Macaca mulatta: one gene and its partners. The protein of the gene in region 2 interacts with the protein of the main gene of each other region in a pairwise test. Links are inferred from orthologs where the notes say so. Each region holds a gene or a part of one and is shown on either strand. Other genes may lie near its edges. The genes, in order: KATNAL1, CEP57L1 and RAD51D.

What was found.
Region 1: the proteins of CEP57L1 (region 2) and KATNAL1 interact in binary tests that used the Homo sapiens proteins (3 or more experiments, as listed by UniProt). The two-hybrid records come from large-scale screens. The link is inferred for Macaca mulatta from reciprocal best matches to the Homo sapiens genes CEP57L1 and KATNAL1.
Region 3: the proteins of CEP57L1 (region 2) and RAD51D interact in binary tests that used the Homo sapiens proteins (3 or more experiments, as listed by UniProt). The two-hybrid records come from large-scale screens. The link is inferred for Macaca mulatta from reciprocal best matches to the Homo sapiens genes CEP57L1 and RAD51D.

The regions. Positions count from the first base shown.
Region 1 is NC_133422.1:10,103,426-10,111,602, forward strand, and holds part of KATNAL1 (katanin p60 ATPase-containing subunit A-like 1), read right to left. Parts: intron 6,534-8,177; coding exon 6,406-6,533; intron 6,015-6,405; coding exon 5,909-6,014; intron 1-5,908. UniProt on the Homo sapiens protein: Regulates microtubule dynamics in Sertoli cells, a process that is essential for spermiogenesis and male fertility. Severs microtubules in an ATP-dependent manner, promoting rapid reorganization of cellular microtubule arrays.
Region 2 is NC_133409.1:14,266,162-14,273,983, reverse strand, and holds part of CEP57L1 (centrosomal protein CEP57L1), read right to left. Parts: coding exon 7,770-7,822; intron 4,618-7,769; coding exon 4,540-4,617; intron 4,425-4,539; coding exon 4,180-4,424; intron 3,068-4,179; coding exon 2,923-3,067; intron 909-2,922; coding exon 687-908; 3' UTR 1-686. UniProt on the Homo sapiens protein: Centrosomal protein which may be required for microtubule attachment to centrosomes.
Region 3 is NC_133421.1:44,625,897-44,634,073, reverse strand, and holds part of RAD51D (DNA repair protein RAD51 homolog 4), read left to right. Parts: intron 1-4,939; coding exon 4,940-5,021; intron 5,022-5,265; coding exon 5,266-5,400; intron 5,401-5,906; coding exon 5,907-6,002; intron 6,003-8,177. UniProt on the Homo sapiens protein: Involved in the homologous recombination repair (HRR) pathway of double-stranded DNA breaks arising during DNA replication or induced by DNA-damaging agents. Bind to single-stranded DNA (ssDNA) and has DNA-dependent ATPase activity.

The DNA of each region.
Region 1 (8,177 bases), on a different chromosome or scaffold from region 2:
TGACTCATGGTGGGCCCCTATATAGTTAACACCAACAAGACAACTCAGGATGGGGGGTGACCATGCCAGGAAAACCAACCATGTGATTACAGAGCTGGGGCTTTGAGCCATGTGATATCAACTCAACCTCTGGGGAGAGGAAGAGAACAAGAGATTAAGAACCATGGGCAATGATTCAATTGATCACGTGAGCGTCCCTAATTGGCAATACTCTATGTATTTCTCTTAGTCCATTTGTGTTGCTACAAAGAAATACCTGAGGCTGGGTAATTTTAAAGAAAAAAAGGTTTATTTGGCTCACAGTTCTGCGGGCTGTAAAGGAAGCATGGTGCCTGCACCCGTTCAGCTTCTAGTGATGGCCTCATGCTGCTTCCACTTATAGAGAAAGGTGAAAGGGAGCCAGCAGCTTGCAGAACTCACATGGCAAGAGCAGAAGCAAGAGAGAGGGGCAACAGCCACTTCTCATGAGAATGAACAGAGTGAGGACATACTCATTACCACAAGGTCGACACCAAGCCATTCATGAGGGATCTGCCCCCATGGCCCAAACTCCTCCCATTAGGCACCACCTCCCAACACTACCACATCAAGAATCAAATTTCAACATGAGATTTGGTGGGACAAATAACCAAACCATATCCAAACTACAGCAGTACTATCACACGTCCATGTGATGCCATAATCTCCATATTGTCACACTTCCAGGAGAGTAAAGCATCCTGACTCCAGGAAGAGAGGGCGAAAGAAGCGTCACCTTGCGCATCCTTCTAGACCTCGCCCTGTAAGTTTCTCCTTTTGGCTGGTTCCGATTTATATCCTTTGGCTATAATAACAATATCATTGTAAGTGCAGCTGCTCCCTGAACGACTCAGGGGTTGGGGCACCAATCCCCTACACAGTCAAAAATCTGCATATAATTTTTGATTCCCAAAAAAACATAACAATGAATAGCCTATTGTTGACTTGAAGTCTTGCTGATAACAAAAACTGTAAACACGTATTTTGTATATGTATTGTATATTGTATTCTTACAATAAACATAGAAAAAAGAAAACATTATTAAGAAAATTATTATAAAAATATATTTATTATTCATTAAATGTAAGTGTGTCACCTTAAAGGTCTTCAGCTTGGATAGGCTAAGGAGGAGGAGGAAAAGGAGGGGTTGGCCTTGTTGTCTCTGGGGCGGCAGAGGCAGAAGAAAAGCCATGTGTAAGGGGATCCGCGATATTCATGCCTATGTTGTCCTGGGCTCGACTGTAAGGCCTCCCTAAGTTCTGTGAGTTGTTCTAGAGAATTATCAAACCTGAGAGGGTAGTGGGAACCCCTGAATTTGTAGCCAGCTGGTTGTAAGAGTGACCCAGGGACCCCCAGGCTTGCAGCTAGTGTCTGAAGTGAGGGCAGTCTTGCGGAAAACTGGGCTCTCAACCTGTGAAGTCTGGCCCAACTCTAGGTAGGTCATGTCAGAAGTCATTCAATTCAAGCCTGGAATCTGGGAGTCATACAACTTGTCTCTCCCACATCCCTGTAAACAGTCAGTCACTTATACCTTCTAAACATCTCTCACAAATCCATTGATTCTTCACTAACCAAAAAGCCCATGCCTTTCTACAGGTATCTGTCCTCATTGTTTGGCTAGATTATTTCACCAGCCTCCTGATGAGATTACTTTTTCATGTCCATCTATGTCCATCCCCAACCTATCCTCCATACTGCTACAGAAACGATATCTTCCTACACTTGCAAATACCCTTCTACTAAAAACTCTTCAGTGGCTCACTGACATCTTTGGCATGGCATGCAGGGCTCTTCGTGAGAAGTAGGTCACACCAACCACTCCAGCAGTGTCTTTTGTTACTATGTCCCATATAAACACTCTATCCTTCCAGCCACACTGAACTACAGAAGATTCCTCACATATACTATGTTCTCTTACACTTTTCATGTGTTTGTACATGATATCCACTCTGCCTTAGAGCCTTTCTTCATCACATCTACCTGTTTAACTTCTATTCATCTTTCAAGTCTCAGCTCAGAGTCACCTGCTCTGGGAGGCCATCCCTGATATTATTCTCCACAGCAGACTAAGTCCCTCCTCCTCTCTCCTGCCATAGCAGTGAGTTCATTACTCTTTCAGACACTAGTCACACTGTCCTCAACAAATACTGCACTTAACACATGGCCTCCATTAAACACATGCTTATTCACCCAAAGACCATGAGCTTCTTGGGGGCTATTATTATTCACTCATTTTGGTATCCTCCGCACTTAGCCTATCACGTGACACAAGGTAAATACTCAATAAATATGTATTTACCCAGTGTAAATGTATCCAATGCTTACTAAGTACTAGGCCCTGAGGAAAAAAAATTGAATCTATCAGGAATCACACATAAATCCTCAAGAGACTTTTAATCTATTAGAAAATATAGATAGATAAATTATGACGCAGTCTAAGAAGTGCTAAGATAGGCTGGATGATAAATGGATAGATGGCTAGAGTCTCAATGTAAGAGTGATTCAAGCATATGTTTATACTTCAGCCACTGAAAATACAGTAGTCTATTTCTTGGGCATCTCCTTATTTTCTAAGTAAAATTTTAAATGTTGCCTTTATAAAAATCATATAATCTGATCTTAAAACTTATAAAGAAGGACCTCGCTATTATTCTGTTACAGAAAAGTTCATCCCAGAGATACATATTTTTGAAAAGGCACTTAATATCTCCGTCTTTAACTTCTCTCACAAGCTTCAGCCCTGTATTTCTTTTTTTTTTTTTTTTTTTTTTGAGACAGAGTCTCGCTCTGTCCCCCAGGCTGGAGTGCAGTGGCGCAATCTCAGCTCACTGCAAGCTCCACCTCCTGGGTTCACACCATTCTCCTGCCTCGGCCTCCTGAGTAGCTGGGACTACAGGCGCCCGCCACCACATCCGGCTAATTTTTTATTTTTAGTAGAGACGGGGTTTCACCGTGTTAGCCAGGATGGTCTCGATCTCCTGACCTCGTGATCCGCCTGCCTCAGCCTCCCAAAGTGCTGGAATTACAGGCGTGAGCCACCGTGCCCGGCCGGCCCTGTATTTCTAACTTGGTGCATTTCCACGTTAATATACCAAAATTTAAAACTCAAAAATAATTCCATATCTTTTCCCCCAGAAGCACCCCCTGCTCCTACTGAACTTTCAACATCAAGAACAATAAACCAGCGTCTTTCTCCTTCCTGAGCTCCACATTTATGTTATCATCACTATTCTGCCACAGACAAAACCCAATTATCTTTACCCCTGCCTTCTTCTTGACATATATATTACATCCAAAAGGTTACCAACTTCCTTCAGTAAATATCACTAGCATCTGTCCTTCCATTCCTAATTCATAATCACCATCCTAATTCAGGCTCTTTGAATTTTAAGCCTAAACTACTGCCAATCACTTCTGAACATGCTCTTTGCCTCCCATCTTTCTGTGTTCATTGCAACCAGACTGTTTTTTCCAACTCACCAGTTTAATTATGCTACCTACCTGCTCAAAGACGTCTCCCAAACATCTACAGAAAAAGAATAGAACTCCTGGGAAATAGTCTGGCCTCAACCTACCTTCCCATTGGAATCTTCCACTAATTTATGTTTTCAACATTTACATAATTCTACGGCCTCATTAACTCATTTTAACCTCACTATATCCTATGAGATAACTATTAGTATTCCCATTTTATAGATAAGGAAAGTGAGGCATGGAGAAGTTCCATAACTTGCTCAAGATCACAGAATAAGTGGAAATGGTTAGAATTCGTATGCACCCAGTCTGGATCCAGGATCTGTGCCCCTTACCAATATTCTATGCTGCCTTCCTTACAAAACGTCAACGCATCTATTCCCAAACACACTTACACTTTCTCACTATATTCCACTGCTCACATCATTCATCCCCCTCAAGTTCCTACATCTCCAAAATGTCTCCTCCAACACAGTGAAATCCTCACAACCCTACAAATTGCAGCTTGAATCCCACGTCCTCAAGCATAAAGCCTTCTCTAATCATGTCATGTTTGTGCTTTGCTGAGCTTTCCAAGCACATGTGGACTGTACCACCCATTAGGCTCTGCTAGTGCCTAATGCTGAAAGCGATCTGTAACTGCCCAACTCTCTGTTTAGGATGTCTCACAGCTCAGGGACTCTGTCTTGAGAAACAAGGAACCTTACATATAACAGGGCTAAGTAAATGCCTGAAGAATAAAGGAATGGTATCACACAATGCAGACGTGTGCTATGGAGGGAAAGGCACATATAAACATAGGAAGCTGAGACACATTGAATTTTAAATTTTCTAAAGGTCTATTATGGTTGTCACAACCTATTTGGACTTCAATTTTCTAGTCTGTCAAATAATGGGGATTTAAGATGATCTCAAAGACTCATTCCAATTCTGAAATTCTGGAATTTACGTTTTGAGACAAATTTTATAAACCTGAAAAATTTCTAAGGTCTCCTTATTTTCATGTATTCTTTAAAATACATTTATCAGGCTTGAAACAGTGGCTCATGCTTGTAATCTCAGGACTTTGGGAGGTCAAGGTGGGCGGATCACTTGAGGCCAGGAGTTCAAGACCAGCCTGGCCAACATGGCAAAATCCAGCCTCTACCAAAAATACAAAATTTAGCTGGGCGTGGTGGCACGCACCTGTAATTGCAGCCACTCCGGAGGCTGAGGCACAAGAATCACTTGAACTTAGGAGGCAGAGGTTGCAGTGAGCCAAGATCATGCCACTGCACACCAGCCTGGGCAACAGAGTAAGACTCAGTCTCAAAAACTAAATAAATTTATTGTCCCATTTTAGTAAATAATCCATTCTCACAAATCCCTAAAAAATTCAAACACGATTTTTAAAAAAATAATAATAGTTCTAGTCAAGAATTTTATTCTACTGTTGCAGAAAAAAAATTATTTGGTCAGGAAAAAGATTCTTTAGAAATATATCTTATTTTCTTAAGCCAGTTTGCCAATAAATACTACAAAAGCACAGCAAGGACAAAATAAATTCATAAAGTCAGATATTCTGTAATGATATAAGAAGTGGTTTTTTTTGTTTGTTTGTTTGTTTGTTTTTTTGAGACGGAGCCTGGCTCTGTTGCCAGGCTGCAGTGCAGTTGCACGATCTTGGCTCACTGCAACCTCCGATTCACGGCTTCAAACAATTCTCCTGCCTCAGCCTCCCCGAGTAGCTGGGATTACAGGCACGCACCACCATGCCCAGATAATTTTTGTATTTTCAGTACAGATGAGATCTCACCATGTTGGGCAGGATGGTCTCGATCTCCTGACCTCGTGATCCACCCTCCTCAGCCTCCCAAAGTGCTGGGATTACAGGGGTGAGCCATGGTACCCGGTCAAGAAGTTGTTTTTTAAAACACAGCTAAAGACCTCTCTTTAGAAAAAACATTTGTGAAAACTCAAAATATAGCAAATGTAGTCTATAAAACAGTCAACAATGAGCTTCAAGTCAGTGACAAGTAAAACAAAATAACCATCAATGAGAAATATTCCAACTTTTGAAAAATAACTGTTTGATCATACCTTTATTCTATAAGACTATGCATTATTTCTGCTTAATCTGCTTAACTTTTTATTTACAGAACCATATACCTAGAAAATTCTTAAAACTAATCTCTAGCTCAGCATCCCTGAGGGAAGTGACCTAAAGACTATATAGTTTCAACACTCCAAGCCCATCTCTCCTACTATGCAGATGTAACACATCACAATACAAATTCAAATCCAGGTGTTTTGGGTGTATATAAACTTCTCCCAACCTTTTCAAAATGGGTTAAATACATCAAAAATACAGCAATGCTGCCTTTCATTCTGATGCAAGCAGCATTCTTATACCAAAACCAATTTAAAAAATTCTCACCTTCCATGGCCTTCTAATCCCTTTGAAAAAGTCAGGCATCCACATTGGAAGAACAACAGCTTCCCTTAGCAACTTCTTAGCTTCTTCCAGATCTGCTATGTCATCCCTTTGAAAGAAGAGCAAAGTTTCATAATGTTTATTCAGGGATCTTTGATTTATGGTCAAACCTAATTCTTCTAATTTTTTTTACTTATGAAATTGTTCTCATATTAAGAACATTAGTCTAATTCTTACTGCATAAAAACATCAGTGAAAACATTAGTTATTAATGAGGACATGTCACTGAATTAACAACTTTTGTCAGTTATATATCAACTTCAAATTAACATGTAAAATGTCCTGGTTACATTCGACAGAACTCTCCCGTCAATTCTATACTTTCACATTACAGAGGTGGTCATAATCAGATTAATGAATAACAAGAGAAAACTCACACCAAGCCAACCTATAACTTGTGTTCTCCTCTACTTTAATTCAATAATTTCAAAGACTCTAACCAATGAATGCTAGGATTCCTGGATACAATGTCTCTTTCAAGGGCTTCCACCAGGTCCTTATCATAACCAGCACCATCAAATTTTGGCATTTCACCATCACTTGCACCGTCTTGCATATTCTTCCTTCCCTGGGGATAGGTATAAAAAAAAGTACTAGTCAGTAACTGGATAATTTAGTTAACATCATTACGCTTTGAAAACATTATAATGCCATCACTTTCAAAATTTTATTATTTTAAGGTAGTATTTTCTGATTACTCAAATGCCATTCTCCTCTATTTAATTCATCAGAAATACATGAACTGGTCAACTTTATTAAAAACTTCAAATCTACATTCTTGCAGGGACAGTTGCAGGTAAGACTAAACATCCTTGCTAGATCCCAAAAGACTGGGAAAGCCTACCTTTGAACTAGTAGATGCAGAAGATTTCCACCACTACTAGAAAACATTTTGAATATTAATGTAGAAGGATCTTTTTAAATGGTATTAAGACCATTAAAGCAATATGCTTTCCCCAAATTCTTCATTTAATAATATAGTTGTTTTAAAAGGAACTATATGCTATGCTTTCTATGGGGTTCTGCCAAGATTTACACAGCTTTGAAAAGCTTTAAATGAAATTTACTTATTTGCCAGAGACAGTCCAACTATGGAAATACTTCAGCAAGCATAGCCAAGTGCCTCCCCAGAGCTTTAGCCCCAGTTACTGCCTACAGTAAAAATGAAACAAGAAAATGGCCAAAATGAGTCAATCTCCTAAACTTCAACCTCAAAAGAGACAAAAGAACAAGACAAACTTCTCTAATCTCACTTCTGAAACAGTCAAAAAAGGCTCAATCATAAGTGCTGGGAGGAAACTAAATGGCTCCTTTGGATAGATGCTCTGGTTCCTTTAAGCCACTAGGTAAGTGACCAAACGGTATTCTGGTACTTCACCCAAAAAAAACACAAATTATTTCTGGGCAGTATGGCAGTAGTATTACATTTATTAGCAAATTTTCAGGAAGATTCTTGCATTCCAGATGACAGATATCAATATTGACACTATTAAAAGGAGTAAATTTTTGGCACCTACACAACAAATACATCAACATACTTAAGCTTAGGCTAGAGTCACATTTTATAGTACGGACAGGCCAAGGCTACCAAGTCATATGCAAACAACAAATCACTAGGAACTTTCTGTAATCATTTTAAAACTATTCTAGAAATGTATCAACAAAGGATACAACAGAAACTGACATATCTGGAGCTTGAGCCTTCATATGGCATTGTAATTTATATTTACATAGTTAAAATTTCATTTTAATATGAATGTCCAGGTGGCCGGAAAGAACTTAATAAACACTACATCAGGAGAAAGAAAAAGCTGCATGCCTATCTGAAAGTAATAGCAGTATCACAGGATTTTTTGCGCATCTTTTACGTGCAACACATGTTATTGCGTATCAGGTTTTAGAGCAGTGAATGAAAATACATTATCTGCCCCCATCAAGCATCTAGTCCAGAGGGGGAAACAAACAACAATAAAGCAAAAACACACATAAACTGTGAAGTGCTGTGAAAAAACCTGAGCAGCCAGGATAGATAAAAGGTATTACACAGAAGAAAGAGGTTGAAGATATGGGCAGAGGTGAGTTTGGATTTCTTCTGGCTCCTATAGAGGATGGGGTAGAGGAGGAGAATCTAAGAAGTAAAAGCCTCTCACTACGCAGAAGGAGAAGTGTGTGTATAGGCCAGTTAAATGACCTGCCCGAGAACCCAAGGTTT
Region 2 (7,822 bases):
ATAGAAGTCAGCAAAAGTTATAAAGTAGTAAGATAAAATGGATCATTATTTTTTTTAAAAAAACTAGTTTTGTAAAAGAGAATGGGAATAGCAGATGAAAACTTCTGCAACTGAATTACTGTCTCCTAAAAATTAAGTAGCTATGGGTTCCTATTGTCTCATAAAACTTGGATTAAAGGCTTCTTCATAAAACTGTCTAATTGTTAAGCTTTTCCTTTTCCAAAAGAGAAAAACATTTCACAGCTTTAAAACAAAATAGAAAGAAGACACCAGGAAAGCTAAATGATCTTTCTGAACTCTGTTCATTTAACATTTGTTTTTAAGGTTGCAAACCTATGAAAAGTGGAATGAATGGTACTTGTAGCTCAGATTTAACTCAATTTTGAATATTGTCAATCTAGTACAATTTCTCAAATTTAGCTTAAGATATCTGCAAAGCAAACAATGTTTCTAAGACAAGATGAGGTTATAGGCTTCAATCAATAAGAAAAACAAAAAAGCAATTAATTTATTATTTGGAACCCAGTAGGTCATTAGGCATTAATTTAAAAATACTGCAACTTCATGTCTTATAGAAGCTAGAAACATGATTCAAAATGTCACAAAGTTATATTAAATTAAAACCACTTTAGACAATTCAAGGTCTCATTGACAAAGTTCATTAAGGTGACAGTTTTGCTATTTTGTTACTGTTCCCACATGATATCATCTCTTCTCAATTTCATTTGAAGATTATGAACTCGTATTGGATGAAAGCTGCTGTTTTTCTGAAAAAGTTTAGTGTCAGTCAAACATTTTCTGGGGCTATTTTTTATGTTCTTTGATCCTTTAGGGTTGCTGTCTTCTTGCTGAATACCTGAAGCTTCACTCATCTTTGAGTTTTGAACTTTTTGCTGCAGTTTACGGACCTGGAGAGAAAAAAAATCTAACATTTTAGTCAAAAATATACTAAAAATATATTCCAAAATAGGTTGAATTGATGGTTTAAAGTTAAAAAATTAAAATTGAACATTAAAAAGTTCAATTCGGTAAGTTTTTAATTTATTGAACATCTATTACATGCCTAACACTGTGCTTGTCAGGTAGAATTATAATGAAGAAAACAGTTCTTACTTTCAAGGAGCTTACTGCTCCTATTAGTGAAAAAAAGCATATATGTGACAACTAGAGAATACAATGAACCAGGATAACTTTGAATAAGACAAAAAGTGTATATGTAAGAAGCCCAAAGTAAGATAAGGTCAACGTGGGCTGCAGAGACTGGGGGGAAAGGTTGTATGTAAGATAACTGGTAAAAACCAGAGAACAGAGAGCAGAGAGAAGAACTTTTCTGGTAACATTAACAGCAAATCTAATAATTGGTTCTAGGAATGAGTATCAAGTTTTGAAAATTATACATACACACACGTGTGTGTATGTATGTGTATATATATGTGTGTGTGTATAAATATGTGTGTTTTTTTTAACTGCCATTCAGGAGTACTTTAAATTCAGGAATACCTTTGTGTACAAATACTTTTGTATATTCCTGAATTTAAAGTACTCCTGAATGGCAGTTTAAAAAAAAGTCAAGGGAATAACTTTATCACCTTGAGTAGTATATGGTAATAGTGGAGGCAGACAGAATTAAACAAAAACAATACGTATCAACCAGCCAAAACCCATTTCTTCAAAGTCTAACCCATTACTTAATCTGTTTCACTTGAGCATAGGTCGAATTTGTAGAGCTGACCCAGACTTTGGGTGAGTACCTAGTTCTCTATTTAGTTAATAATCAATTTTTATTACAGATATTACATTTATCATAATAAAGTGCTTAAAATTTATACTGGTATAGCTATTATGGAATATATATCATGTTTTTCAAAATATAGTATATATATACTAGCTGAGTTTTAAAAATGATCATTCTTCTATTCCTTTCAAGTTTCTCTTATGCAATTTCAAGAAAGTGTACAAGTTGTATAATCTTCACTCCAAAACATACAGAAATTTTTACTTATTATAGCCTTAAAAGCCAGTAAAATAAAAATATTTGTTTTAAAAATGTCACTTCTTTCTTTCTTCCTTTCTTTCCCACAATAAGAATAAAAGTAATAATATTCTGCATCTTTTATTACTTTCCTATAAAAGGCAGGGAGGCTTATTTGTGACATTCATATATCATTAACTTATATGAATGATGATTTTGTCCATAGGCAGATGGCTACATGAGGTGACTTGAGGGTTCCTGGGAAAGGCTCCCTCTGCCTTCTGCTCCAGCAGTGTAATAGTGCTGCAAGTTCAACCTACGGAGTCATTGTCTTGGAATTAAATATTATATTCCATGATTTTTCTGTTAAAATAATAAAACTGTTAGCTATTCTTAGTTATTACATCTTAACAGAAGTATAGAGTTTTCCTCACCATCCCTGTCCTACTCACTATAGCTAGCTGAGTATAGGTCCCCAGGGAATGGAACACAACACAGCCTGTTTTGGGAAAGAGGAAATCATGCTTTAAGGACTGGGGCACTGCTTAGGAGCCAGGTTTATGTCTGGTAGTGAATAAGAGACCTGCTGACATAAGGGGTATCATTAAAGCATTAGAGGAGAGAAGGAAGAGGAAAAAGAATGCTAAAAGGGTAATTGGAGGGCTGCTAAGGCAAGTTTAGTTTACCTCACAATTTCCCCAAAGCAATTTCTGAATACATAACTGAACCTATTTGTTCACTTAAAAAATTTTAACTTGGAGAGTTACGTAGGAGGTCCATGTTATTCCAGTGGGACAGATGGCTCTATTCTGTCATAGGCCTAAGTGACTACCATCCATCTTTTCACTAAATCCCATATACAGACCTCAAATTTGGAAAGTCGTACAGAGATACAACACTGAATCCACATTTTATCTTTTTATTAAAATCTCTTAGTAAAGCCTTCTTACACTGTCTTGATGCTTCTTCAGTTTGGAGATTTGTTCTCCTTTAATTTCCATTTTCTTGACTAAACACTCTAGTTCACATTCTATGTCGTCACAGACTGAATGGCTTTCAGTTTCCTTCATTTGTTTCAGTAGTTCTTGGTGCTCCCTATGAAAGAATAGCAAATATTAAGCACTACTATAGTTTATTGCATATATGTCTTTGCCATAATTAAGCAATTTTCTGTTCAATCATAAATTTTAGTCAGACTTAAATATTAACCTTTAAAAACAGCATCTTTCTTTAGGGTTGTTTAATTAAATCTACAGTAACTATAACCAGGCTCCTGTGATTTGAAATTAAATACCTTTACAAATATCTTAAGACTGCTAAGCAACTTTAAAAAATATGTGAATTCCTGATGCTCATAGCTCAATGTAGTAAAATGTGTGATGTCTTTAACAGAGGTATTAAAGGGCTTTCTTCCTCATTATTGATATAGGATCTTTGGAAGAATTCCAGCTGTGGAAGTATTTGCCTGAAAAATTTCTGGATTTGGAGTTAGCCTACTGAAATGCTGTTAACAGAAACAGCTGTATCTTCTACAGATGTCTTAGGTCAACTAGCTGGTCAGCCAAACCACATAGTTCTGGAATTTCTATTGAATATATATTTAAGCAAGTGGGCACAATATAATGTATCCCATATGGAAATCTTCCTTACTATAGATGCTTCAAAATCTGTAATGCAGACCAGCCAGAGTCTAAAACAAGGAATTACATTCCTACTTGTCTAATTAAATAATTCATTCAGCTAAAAGATTCTAAAACACAAAAGGAGAGCTTTTCTTATAAACGCTTTTGTGAGTTTTAATCTAAGGTCATCAGATCCTATATGTTAGAATGACAGTAGTAGCTATCAGTCCAGATCTTGGGAATACAGAAATACCTTAGAATGAAAAAGTAGTAGTTATAAAGAACTGAAATTTTAAATAGTAACAAATACAATGAAAAATAGTGACAACAAATCTTTCCAAATGGCTAAGTAAGGCCTTTAAGAATTTATAAGTGGTATTGTTCTTAAGACTAAGAAGAAAAAGTGATATGGTACTTCTCCTGATAAAGAATAAAAATTGCTGGCCAGGCACGGTGGCTCACGCTTGTAATCCCAGCACTTTGGGAGGCTGAGGCAGGAGGACTGCCTGAAACCATGAGTTCAAGACTAGCCTGGGCAACATAGCAAGACACTGTCTCTTAAAAAAAAAATATATAAATACTTACATGCTCATTTGGTCCAGCTCATCTTGCATTGCCATCAAAAGTTCAGATAAATTGTCACAAATGGAAATGGACTTTTCTGAGTCACGAGGAATAGCCTTACACCAGGAAGTTGTTCTAGAAGGCCTGGGGAGACATCTAGTCTCAGCCACGTTAAAAGGTTTCTGAAGGATATGTGGGCCACGATGTTGCCTCCTCTGCAAAAGGTTTTGCATACTTGCATTCACAGAACAGTTTGCACTGGTGGACTTATGGGAAAAGAAACAACTGAGAATAATTTTAAATGACTGAAGATATTTTAATAGCACTTACAATGAAACAGGAATTTTTTTGAACAACTATCTTCATTTTATCCCCTCTCACCTTTTCAGCCACAAAAGGCAGTGCTCCAAACTTTGAACAAATTTGCCAAGGTGGTCCTCTCTTTATACATTTAGTTTTCTAGAGATTGACAAGAAAAAAACATAAATAAGAAATTATTTTAAAAGTTATTTATGATATGAAGAACTCTCAAAACTCAACAGAAAACAATGCAACTGGAAAATGGGCAAAAAGACATGGACAGAAATTTCACTGACAAAGACATATGTATGGCAAACATATGAAAAGATATTCAACATCATTAATTATGGAAATGAAAGTTAAAATTAGTGAAATATCACTGCACATCCATCAGAATGGCCAAAATAAAAAATAGTGACAATACCAAATGTTGGCAAGCATGCAGAGAAAATAAAACCACTCACATATTGTTGGTGGGAATACAAAATGGTACAGCCATTTTGGAAGACAGTTTGGCAGTTTCTTATAAAACTAAAAATGTACTTATTACATGACCCAACAATTGCTCTCTTAGGCATTTATCCTAGAAAAATGAAAACTTATGTTCACATAAAAACATGTATACAAATGTTCATAGCAGCTTTATCTGTAATAGCTAAAAAATTGGAAACAATCGAAATATCCTTTTTTTTTTTGAGACAGGGTCTCATTCTGTCACCCATACTGGAGTGCAATGGTACAATCTTGGCTTACCGCAACCTCTGTCTCCCAGGCTCAAGCGATTATCCTGCCTTAATCTCCCAAGTAGCTGGGATTACAGGTGTGTGCCACTACTGCCCGGCTAATTTTTGTATTTTTAGTAGAGACGAGGTTTCACCATATTGGCCAGGCTGGTCTTGAACTCCTGACCTCAAATGATGCACTCGCCTTGGCCTCCCAAACTGTTGGGATTACAGGCATGAGCCACCATGCCGGACTCCAGATATCCTTTAACAGATGAACAGTTAAATTGTGGTACATCTGTAATGCGGAATATCACGCAGAAATAAAAAGGATGTATTGATACATACAACAACTTGGATGGACCTCAAGGGAAAAAAGCCAATCTCAAAAAGTTACATACTGTATAATTCCATTTATATAATAATATTGAAATAATAAAATATACAGATGGTGAACAGATTAGAGGTTGCCAATGTTCAGGGAAGGGGATGTGTAGCTATAGAGGGATTGCATGAAGGAGTCTTTTAGTGGTGGAAGAGTTCTGTATCTTGATTGTTGTGATAGTGACATGAATCTACGCATATGATTCTCTCATAAAATCTACACATGTGATTTCTCTCTATGTAAAACTCTCCTACTGCTGTAAGTTACCATCTAAAATTACAACTCTAATCATGTCCCTACTTTTCTCAGAAGCCTTCAATAGTTCCTGTTTATAGAATAAAAGTTCAAACTCTTAACATGGCATTCAAGGTCAGCCATTAGCTCACCCCAAGCTGTATTTTCCACTTTAACTTCCACTATGATCTCATCTCACCCCCAATACTGGACTATTACTTATAGGTCCCTGGAAAAACCAACAATTCCCTCAGACTGTAATATATTTTTCCTTATCTCAGTCTGTCAATATTTAATTCTTCAAGGCTTCCTTTAATATTGCTTCTTGCATTACCTTTCACATATTCCTTTGTCTACATAACACCACAACACTTTGTTTAAACCTCTATTAATCTTCTATTATACTGTTTCATATTTATATATTTATCTGTTTCTCACAAATTCCTGTCCAATTTTTTTTATCACCTAGAGATACCAGTCTATGTACATCAAAATGTAAGAGTTGAATGAACTATGTCCAGGACATGGAGAAACAGTGTGATAGGAAGCAGGTCTCTCATAGAGGCTTCCTGAAATCTAATCCTACTTTCAGCAACTTTAGCACTTCCTCCGTCTTTAAAAAGAGACACCATTATTTGCATACCCTGTGAACTTGGGATTTGAACTAAGTACTTCCATGAAATGATTCTGCTGTTAATACTCTCTTCTCTTCCAGGAGTTACCTTTTCTTTCCTTCATTTCTTTTATCTTCTTCCTGCACCTTCACTATTTTTATAATAAATAGGTAAACTGAAAAAAAGTTCCATTAACTCATCAGAGAAAGGATGCCATAAAACATACATACTGGGCAGTATGTGTTCCACTGGCAAATTACTTACAGTGATTTTTCTATTTGGTTTTGTAGCTGTGAATCTCATTGCACAAACAAGACACAAAACAAATATTTAGGAAAGGAAACAGGCAAAATAAGTCATATTGGGAAAATATTGTTCGTTATTATAGTTTGAAAATTCTTTAAAATGAAAAAATTATGAAAAATACAGCCCAAGTATTGAACATTAATTTTTACTTATGTAATAAAAGAGTAGCCAAAGTTAAGTATAATGTTCTCTCCATTATTTTATCCACAAGCTAAGCATATGGCAGTGGCCAGAATTCCCAAATAGCATCTCCTGTCTCCCACAGCAAATGACACAGAGCAACACTCACTCCATTCATATCTGAATAAATAGTAATAATGGCCATCAAAACCATAATTCCAGAATCATAAGATTAAAAGGGATTAAAAACTTTTTTCATACCATTATATATAATTAAGAAGGGTTACTTGAATAGAATACACTCAAAACATCAATTCATCTAAACAAAATATTGGTCTATAAAGTACTAACTCTCCAATCCTTACTTTTAGGCAAATTCACAAGAAATAAGCATAGAAATTACATATAACAATAAATTCCCTATATAAATGACTTTACAGACTTAACAGGTGTATAAGGAAAACCCTTATTTTTTTATTGTGTATATACTACATAAAACTGCTTTCAGGATCTATTATTTTTTCAATATCTACTGTGTTGTTTAGTGCCTCTTTTATAAAGTATCACAAAATATATTTCTCCAGAAGTTTAGAAAAACGTTAATCTTTCTAGAAAAACTGGAGTGCTTCCTGTTATTTCACAAAGATAGTGATACTGTCCATTATATGTTCCTTTCTGGTTTGGTTGTCAAGCAAACTGAGAGCTAAATTTTGTACATGACTGCTGCTACTTTTTAAAATCTGAATATTATGAAATTTTCTGTCCTTATACCCCAAACCATCATCCATTACTTGGCACGCATTATTGCATGTCTTTTATTATATATCTTCAAATCCTTTTGGGAAAGGTGTAGGTATAAGCATTAAGAGTGTGTATAAGTCAGTATTAGCAAATAAAAGTATAGTTTGGGAAAAAGTTTTATATGCACACCTTTGAAGATGTCTTCTTTTCCTTGGAGTGCTTTAGATTTGAAACTGAAGACA
Region 3 (8,177 bases), on a different chromosome or scaffold from region 2:
TTGGAGGAATCAGTCTACCCAGGGTTAAGACTTGCTATATAGCTACACAGTTAAGCCTAGTGTGGTATTGGCCAAGGGACAGATGGACACAGATCAATGGAACAGAGTAGAGAACCCAGAAATAGACCTCCACAAGTATATACAACTAATTTTTTTTTTTTTTTGAGACAGGGTCTTGCTCTGTCACCCAGGATGGAGGGTGCTGGTGCTATTACAGCTCACTGCAGCCTTGACCTCCCTGGGCTCAGGCAATCCTTCCACCCCAAGCCTCCCAAGTAGCTGGGACTACAGGTATGGGACACCATGCCTGGTTATTTGTATTTGTATTTTTTTTTTTTTTTTTTAGACGGAGTTTCTCTCTCTCTTTTTTTGTTTTGAGATGGAGTTTCACTCTTGTTGCCTGACCTGGAGTGCAATGGCGTGATCTCGGCTCACCGCAACCTCCGCCCCCCCGGGTTCAAGCAATTCTCCTACAGGCACACACCACCAGGCCTAGCTAATTTTTTTTGTATTTTTAGTAGAGACGGGGTTTCTCCATATTGGTCAGGCTGGTCTTGAACTCCTGACCTCAGGTGATCCGCCCGCCTTGGCCTCCCAAAGTGCTGGGATTACAGGCATGAGTCAACGTGCCCGGCTGGAGTTTCTCTCTTTTTGCCCAGGCTGGAGTGCAATGGCATGATCTCAGCTCACTGCAACCCCCGCCTCCCGGGTTTGATTCATCTGCCTCTACCTCTCGAGTAGCTAGGATTACAGGTGCATGCCACCACGCCCAGCTAATTCTGTATTTTAGTAGAGATGGGGTTTCACCATGTTGGCCAGGCTGGTCTCGAACTCCTGACTTCAGGTAACCCGACCGCCTTGGCCTCCCAAAGTGCTGGGATTACAGGCATGAGCCACCGCGCCCAGCCTATTTGTATTTTTTTGTAGAGACAGGGTTTCACTATGTTGCCCAGGCTGGCCTCGAACTCCTGGGCTCAAGCAATCCTCTCGCCTCAGCCTCCCAAAATGCTGGGATTACACACAATTGATTTTTGACAAAGGTACAAAAACAACGTGATGGAGGAAAGACAGCCTTTGAACAAAGGGTGCTGGGGCTATTGGACATCGTAGGTTAAAAATATGTAATAATAAACCTAAACCTTATACCTTATATAAAAATTGACTGAAAATGGATCGTGGACTTTAATGTAAAACCAAATTGTGTAATTTTTTAGAACAAAACAGGAGAAAGTCTAGGCAAAGTGTTCTTAGATTTGACACCAAAAGTATGATCCATGAAAAAATTTTTGATTAATTGGGCCTAATCAAAATTAAAAACTTTTGCTGCACAAAACAGAATGAAAAGAGAAGTACAGAATGAGAATAATAGTTGCAAGCCATGTATTCAACAAAGGACTTGTATCTAGAATGGAGAAAGAATTCCTAAAACCCAACAGTAAAAAATCAAACAATTCAATTAGAAAATGGGCAAGGGCTGCCTCACACCTGTAGTCCCAGCACTTTGAGAGGCTGAGGTGGTTGGATTGCTTGAGCCCAGGAGTTCAAAACTGGCCTGGGCAACGTGGCAAAAACCCTGTCTCTACCAAAAAAATACAAAAGTTGGCTGGGTGTGGTGGCACATGCCTGTAGTCCCAGCTACTTGGGGGAGCTGATGTGGGAGGATCACCTCAGCCTGGGAGGTCAAGGTTGCAGTGAGCTGTGATCATGCCACTGAATTCTAGCCTGGGTGACACAGTGAGACGTGAGACCCTATCTCAAAAAAAAAAAAAAAAAAATGCCAGGTGCAGTGGCTTATGCCTGTAATCCCAGCACTTTGGGGGGCCAAGGTGGGTTGATCACCTGAGGTTGGGAGTTCGAGACCAGCCTGACCAATATGGAGAAACCTCGTCTCTATTAAAAATACAAAATTAGCTGGATATGGTGGCGTATGCCTGTAATCCCAGCTACTCGGGAGGCTGAGGCAGGAGAATTGCTTGAACCCGGGAGGTGGAGGTTGCGGTGAGCCGAGATCATGCCATTGCACTCCATCCTAGGCAACGCTCCGTCTCAAAAAAAAAAAAAAAAATCAACACTATTAACTATTAGGGAAATACAAATTAAAAACACAATGAGCTATTATTACATACCTATCAGAAAGACTAAAATAAAAAAATAGTGATAATACCAAATGATGAGGATGTGGAAACACTGGACTACTCATATATACATTGCTACTGGAAATGTAAAATGGCATAGTCACTCTGGAAAATAGTTTGGTAGTTTCTTATAAAATTAATAATGCCTTTACCATACCACCCAGCAATTGTATTCTTGGGCATTTATCCCAACGATGTGAAAACTTGGGTTTATACAAAAACCTGTAAAAAATGCTTTATAGCAGTTTTATTCACAATAGCCCCAAAGTGGAAACAACCAAATGGCCTTCAGTGGATGAATGGTTAAATAAAGTGTGGTACATCCATACCATGGAATACTTTTTAGCAATAAAAAGGAATGAACTATCCATATATGCAACAACTGGGATGGATCTCAAGGGAATGATGCTGAGTGACAAAAGCCAATTGCAGGGCCGGGCACAGTGGCTCATGTCTGTAATCCCAGCACTTTGGGAGGTTGTATTGGGCAGATCACTTGAGGTCAGGGGTTCAAGACCAGTCTGCCTAACATGGCGAAACCCCGTCTCTACTAAAAAATACAAAAATTAGCCAGGTGTTTTGGTGGGCACCTGTAATCCCAGGTACTCGGGAGGCTGAGAGAGGAGAATTGCTTGAACCTGGGAGGTGGAGGTTGCAGTGAGCTGAGATTGCACCACTGCACTCCAGCCTGGGCAACAGAGTAAAACTCCGAAACTCCGTCTCAAAAAAAAAAAAAAAAAAAAAGAAAAAGGAAAAAAAAAGCCAATCACAAAGGTTACATAGTGTATAATTCTATGTACATAACTTTGTTCTTGAAATAACATAATAGAGATTAGTGGTTGTCAGGGGTTGGGGATTGGGGTGACTGGGAGGAATGTAGCTATAAAAGAGTAGCAGGAGGATGACTTATAGTGATGGAAATGTTCTGTATCTTGATTATAGCGGTTGTGTAAATCTACATATGTGATAAAATGGCACAGAACTAGACACATCGTACGTGCTTGAATGCTAGGAACATTGGTGAAATCTGAATAAGCTCTGTGGATAGTACCAACATCAGTTTGCTACTTGTGATATACTATAGTACTTTCTTTCTTTTTTTAAGGAGAAAAGGGTCTTGCTATGTTGCCTGGTCTAGACTTGAACTCCTGGACTCAAGTGATCCTCTCACCTTAGCTTCCCAAGTAACTGGGACTATAGGCCCCTGACTAGTACAATACATTTTGTAGTACAATTGTTATTATTAAGGGAAACCAGGTGAAAGGTTCATGGACTTTTTGCAACTTCCTGGGAATCTATAATTATCTCAAAGTTGTTTTTTTTTTGTTGTTTGGTTTTGTTTTGTTTTTTGAGACGGAGTCTTGCTCTGTCAACAGGCTGGAGTGCAGTGGCGCGATCTTGGCTCACTGCAACCTCCGCCTCCTGGGTTCAAGCGATTCTCCTGCCTCTGCGTCTCAAGTAGCTAGGACTACAGGTGCATGCCACCATCAAAGTTTTTTTAAAAACAAAACAAAACAAAAACACAAATTTTGGGAAATGCTATCAAGGAAACCCACAAACGGCTGGGCCTGGTGGCTCACGCCTGTAATTGTAGCACTGTGGGAGGCCGAGGCAGGTGGATCACTTGAGGTCAGGAGTTTGAGACCAGCCTGGCCAACATGGTGAAACCCCATCTCTAATTAAAAAAATTAGTCAGGAGGCCGGGCGCGGTGGCTCACGCCTGTAATCCCAGCACTTTGGGAGGCCGAGGCGGGCGGATCACAAGGTCAGGAGATCGAGACCATCCTGGCTAACACTGTGAAACCCCGTCTCTATTAAAAATGCAAAAAATTAGCCGGGCGAGGCGGCGGGCGCCTGTAGTCCCAGCTACTCGGGAGGCTGAGGCAGGAGAATGGCGTGAACCCGGGAGGCGGAGCTTGCAGTGAGCCGAGATCGCGCCACTGCACTCCAGCCTGGGCGACTAAGCCAGACTCTGTCTCAAAAAAAAAAAAAAAAAAAAAAAAATTAGTCAGGGATAGTGGCGGGCGTCTGTAATCCCAGCTACTTGGGAGGCTGAGGCAGGAGAATCACTTGAGCCTGGGAGGTGGAGGTTGCAGTGAGTAGAGATCATGCCACTGCTCTCCAGCACTCCAGCCTGGACAACAGAGAGAGACTCCATTTCAAAAAAAATAATAATAAATAAAAGGAAACCCACAGGGCCTGAGATGAAAAAAAATGAAAGGAGGACCTTCTGATGGGGTGAAGAGGCCTCTCTGGAAAGCTGATCTTTAAGAATGGAGGGATGAAGAGAGACCAGAGAAGGAACATTGGGGCATTCCCTCTTTCCCAGAAGAAAACATCAGGAGAAGCCTCCTGGCCAGTGATGTTCAAAGACAGAACCAGTGCTTGAAAGGAATGTCTTGGCCGGGCGCGGTGGCTCAAGCCTGTAATCCCAGCACTTTGGGAGGCCGAGGCGGGTGGATCACGAGGTCAGGAGATCAAGACCATCCTGGCTAACATGGTGAAACCCCGTCTCTACTAAAAATACAAAAAACTAGCCGGGCGTGGTGGCGGGCGCCTGTAGTCCCAGCTACTCGGAGGCTGAGGCAGGAGAATGGCGTGAACCTGGGAGGCGGAGCTTGCAGTGAGCCGAGATCGCGCCACTGCACTCCAGCCTGGGTGACGCAGCGCGAGACTCCGTCTCAAAAAAAAAAAAAAAAAAAAAGAAAAAAAAAAGAAAGGAATGTCTTACTTTTCTTCTTGGTACCTTTTCCCCTCTCTTCCTACTAACCTCTTGTGTTGATTTTCTTCTTTTTTGCCATCAGCCTGGACAAACTGCTTGATGCTGGTCTTTATACTGGAGAAGTGACTGAAATTGTAGGAGGCCCAGGTAGCGGCAAAACTCAGGTACACGTGAGGCCCGCAGTCAGGAGGATTTGAGGGTGAGGGTGGTAGGTGCATAGCCCAGGATCCCTGGGGGAGCTTCAGCATACTGATGAGTTCAGAGCCCAACAGAGAGAAGATGGGTGATGAGGAATGGGGCTTGGACTCAGCGCATTTGTGTTGCTGGAATCTGGGCAAGGTTTGGTGGGGAGCTCCCATTCTGGACCCTCTCTGAAGTGTCAAGTTCATCCAATGCCCCCACCCCCAGGTATGTCTATGTGTGGCAGCAAATGTGGCCCATGGCCTGCAGCAAAACATCCTGTATGTAGATTCTAATGGAGGGCTGACAGCTTCCCGCCTCCTCCAGCTGCTTCAGACTAAAACCCAGGATGAGGAGGAACAGGTAAGGGGCAGGATGCTGGGTTCCATTGAGATTCTGACACAAGAAAACCCCATTACCCCTTAACATTGTAAGAATTTGGGTTGAATAGTCATTCCTTGCCTTCAAACTTGCTGTTCTGTTAATACATCCCGTATTCCTTAAGCCACCCCTGTTGATACCATCATCCTATTTGGGATGCTACTCGCACCGATTCTTCCAGAAAACCCTCCCAGCTCTGTGCATGCCCTAAACCAGGGCTGGTAAACACCGAGCTTTGTGTTTCCAGTCCATTTCTCGCCCATGAGAAGCATCACTAATCAGTCATATCCCTCTTTCCTCCTGAGTTTGAGTACTTTACAGCTCAGCACCCAGGCAGCCACCACCATGACAACTGGCCCATTAGACAAAGCTCATTTGCCACCCTGGACCTGAATCCTTGAATCCAGGTGCCTCTTCCTTCTCAGCCTTACCTCGACCCCCTACTCCCTCTTATCCAAAGCCCTTGCTTCTCTTTTCCACCCCTTCAGGCAGAAGCTCTCCAGAGGATCCAGGTGGTGCATGCGTTTGACATCTTCCAGATGCTGGATGTGCTGCAGGAGCTCCGAGGCACTGTGGCCCAGCAGGTGAGCCTGCTGTTCTGCCCCTCCTTGCTTAACTCAGCTTGCCAGGTGCTATCTCTGTGGGCCGGTGTCCTACTACAGACTGTTTAGAAATGCAGATGTGCAATTTGGTGACTCCAACTATGCTTGCTACTCCCAGGATGGAATTCCCAAGCGCCTAAATCACATACCTCATTGTTTACATGTTCATCTTCCCTGCTGAACAGTAAAGCCCCCTGAATGGAAGTATCATGTCATATTTATCTCTGCATTCCCCACTAGGTGAGTGAGGAATACTTTTAGCTGCCAAGTAATAGAGGTTGTCTGACAGAGACTTGAACCTTGAGGACATTTAATTATGTCACATGAGTTGGAGGTTAGCAGGTCCATGCTATCGGGGCAACAGTTGGTGTGTCTGATTTTCTTGTTCTTCCCCTCACGGTTGCAAAGAGGCTGCCGAAGCTCCAAGTATCTTGTCTTCACACATCCACATCCATATTCAAAGCAGTAAAAGATAGATGGTTCTTTTCTGTACCTCCTCCCTTTTATCAGGGATGAAGAATCTTTCTCCAGAGCCCACTAATATGTCCCTCTTCCCCTTACATCTAGTTGGCCAAAATGGAGTTATGTGTGTATCTTGGACTAAGGCCTGGGCCCACTATCCCTGAAGTCAGATTTCTGCCCAGTGCCCAAACACATTCAGAGTCGTGTTAATGGGGAGGATTTAGAATGGCATTTGGGTTGGTACTTTGCTATTCATGTTGGATGCTTAGACAAGATTTGGTGCACTGATTTATAAATGACTAGATGTGGAGGATACCTTAAAGATAGAATAGTTCATCTCAAACTTTTCCTCTCACCCCAAAGCACGACATGTTCGCACAGGCATCCCCGCAACTATATATAAAGTCAACGATTTTTACAAACTTTAGAACATATAATAGTTGAACAAGCTGGAAGTGGTGGCCCACACCTGTAATCCTAATGACTCCAGAGGCTGAGACGGGAGGATTGCTTGAGCCCAGGAGTTGGAGGTTGCAGTGAGCTATGATCATGCCACTGTACCTTACCCTGGGCAGCACAGCTAGACCCCGTCTTTTAAAAAAAAAAAAAAAAAAAGTTGAACAAATACTTTTCTCAGAAGTCATAGCTGGTTATGACCCACCAGTTTGTTGAGACATGATGCTGAGTAGTGCTGATCTCACTTTTAGAGATGAGAAGAGTGAAGGCCAGAGAAGTGAAGTGAGTTGACCAAAATTGACCACATATTTAGGACAAGAACTAACCGTATAGCCCAAATCTCTCAATTCCAGATCAGAAGACTGTATTTTTTTACTGTAGGACCATTAGATGGTATATCTTCTATTACTGCATAATAAGTTACCAAAACCTTGGTGGCTTAAGACTTGGATTTTTTATCTCACAGTTTCTAGGGGTTAAGAATCTGAGGCTGGGAGCGGTGGCTCACGCCTATAATCCCAATGTTTTGGAAGGCCAAGGCAGGAGGATCGCTTGAGCCCAGGAGTTCAAGACCAGCCTGGGCAACATAACAAGACCCTGAAAAAAGAAAAGGAAGGAAGGAAGGAAGGGAGGGAGGGAAAGAAAGAAAAGAAAAGAGAGGAAAGAAAGAAATAAAGAAAGGAAAGAAAGAGAGAGAGAGAAAGAAAGACAGGAAGAAAAGAAAAGAAAAAGAACCAGAATCAGGATATAAGAAGTAAGGGAGAAGACAAAAGAAGCATCAAAAACAGTTTAAGTCCAGGGAAACCAGGAGGATGCTCCTTCTTGTGTAAAGACAGAAAATTATGGTTAGAAAGATGGCACCAGGCCAGGCATGGTGGCTCATGCCTGTAATTCCGGCATTTTGGGAGGCCAAGGTGGCCAGATCACTTGAAGCCAGGATTTCGAGACCAGCCTGGCCAACATGGTAAAACCCCATCTCTGCTAAAATTACAAAAATTAGCCGGGTGTGGTAGTGCACACCTGTAATCACAGCTACTCAGGAGGCTGAGGCAGGAGAATCGCTTGAACTTGGGAGGCGGGGGTTGCAGTGAACTGAGATGGCACCACTGCACTCCAGCCTGGGCGACAGAGCAAGACTGTCTCAAAAAAAAAAAAAAAAATTAACTGAAAACTACACTACCCTAAAGTCATCAAATTTCAGAAAGCCCCATGTAGAGTACTGAGACCTCTGGTCATGGA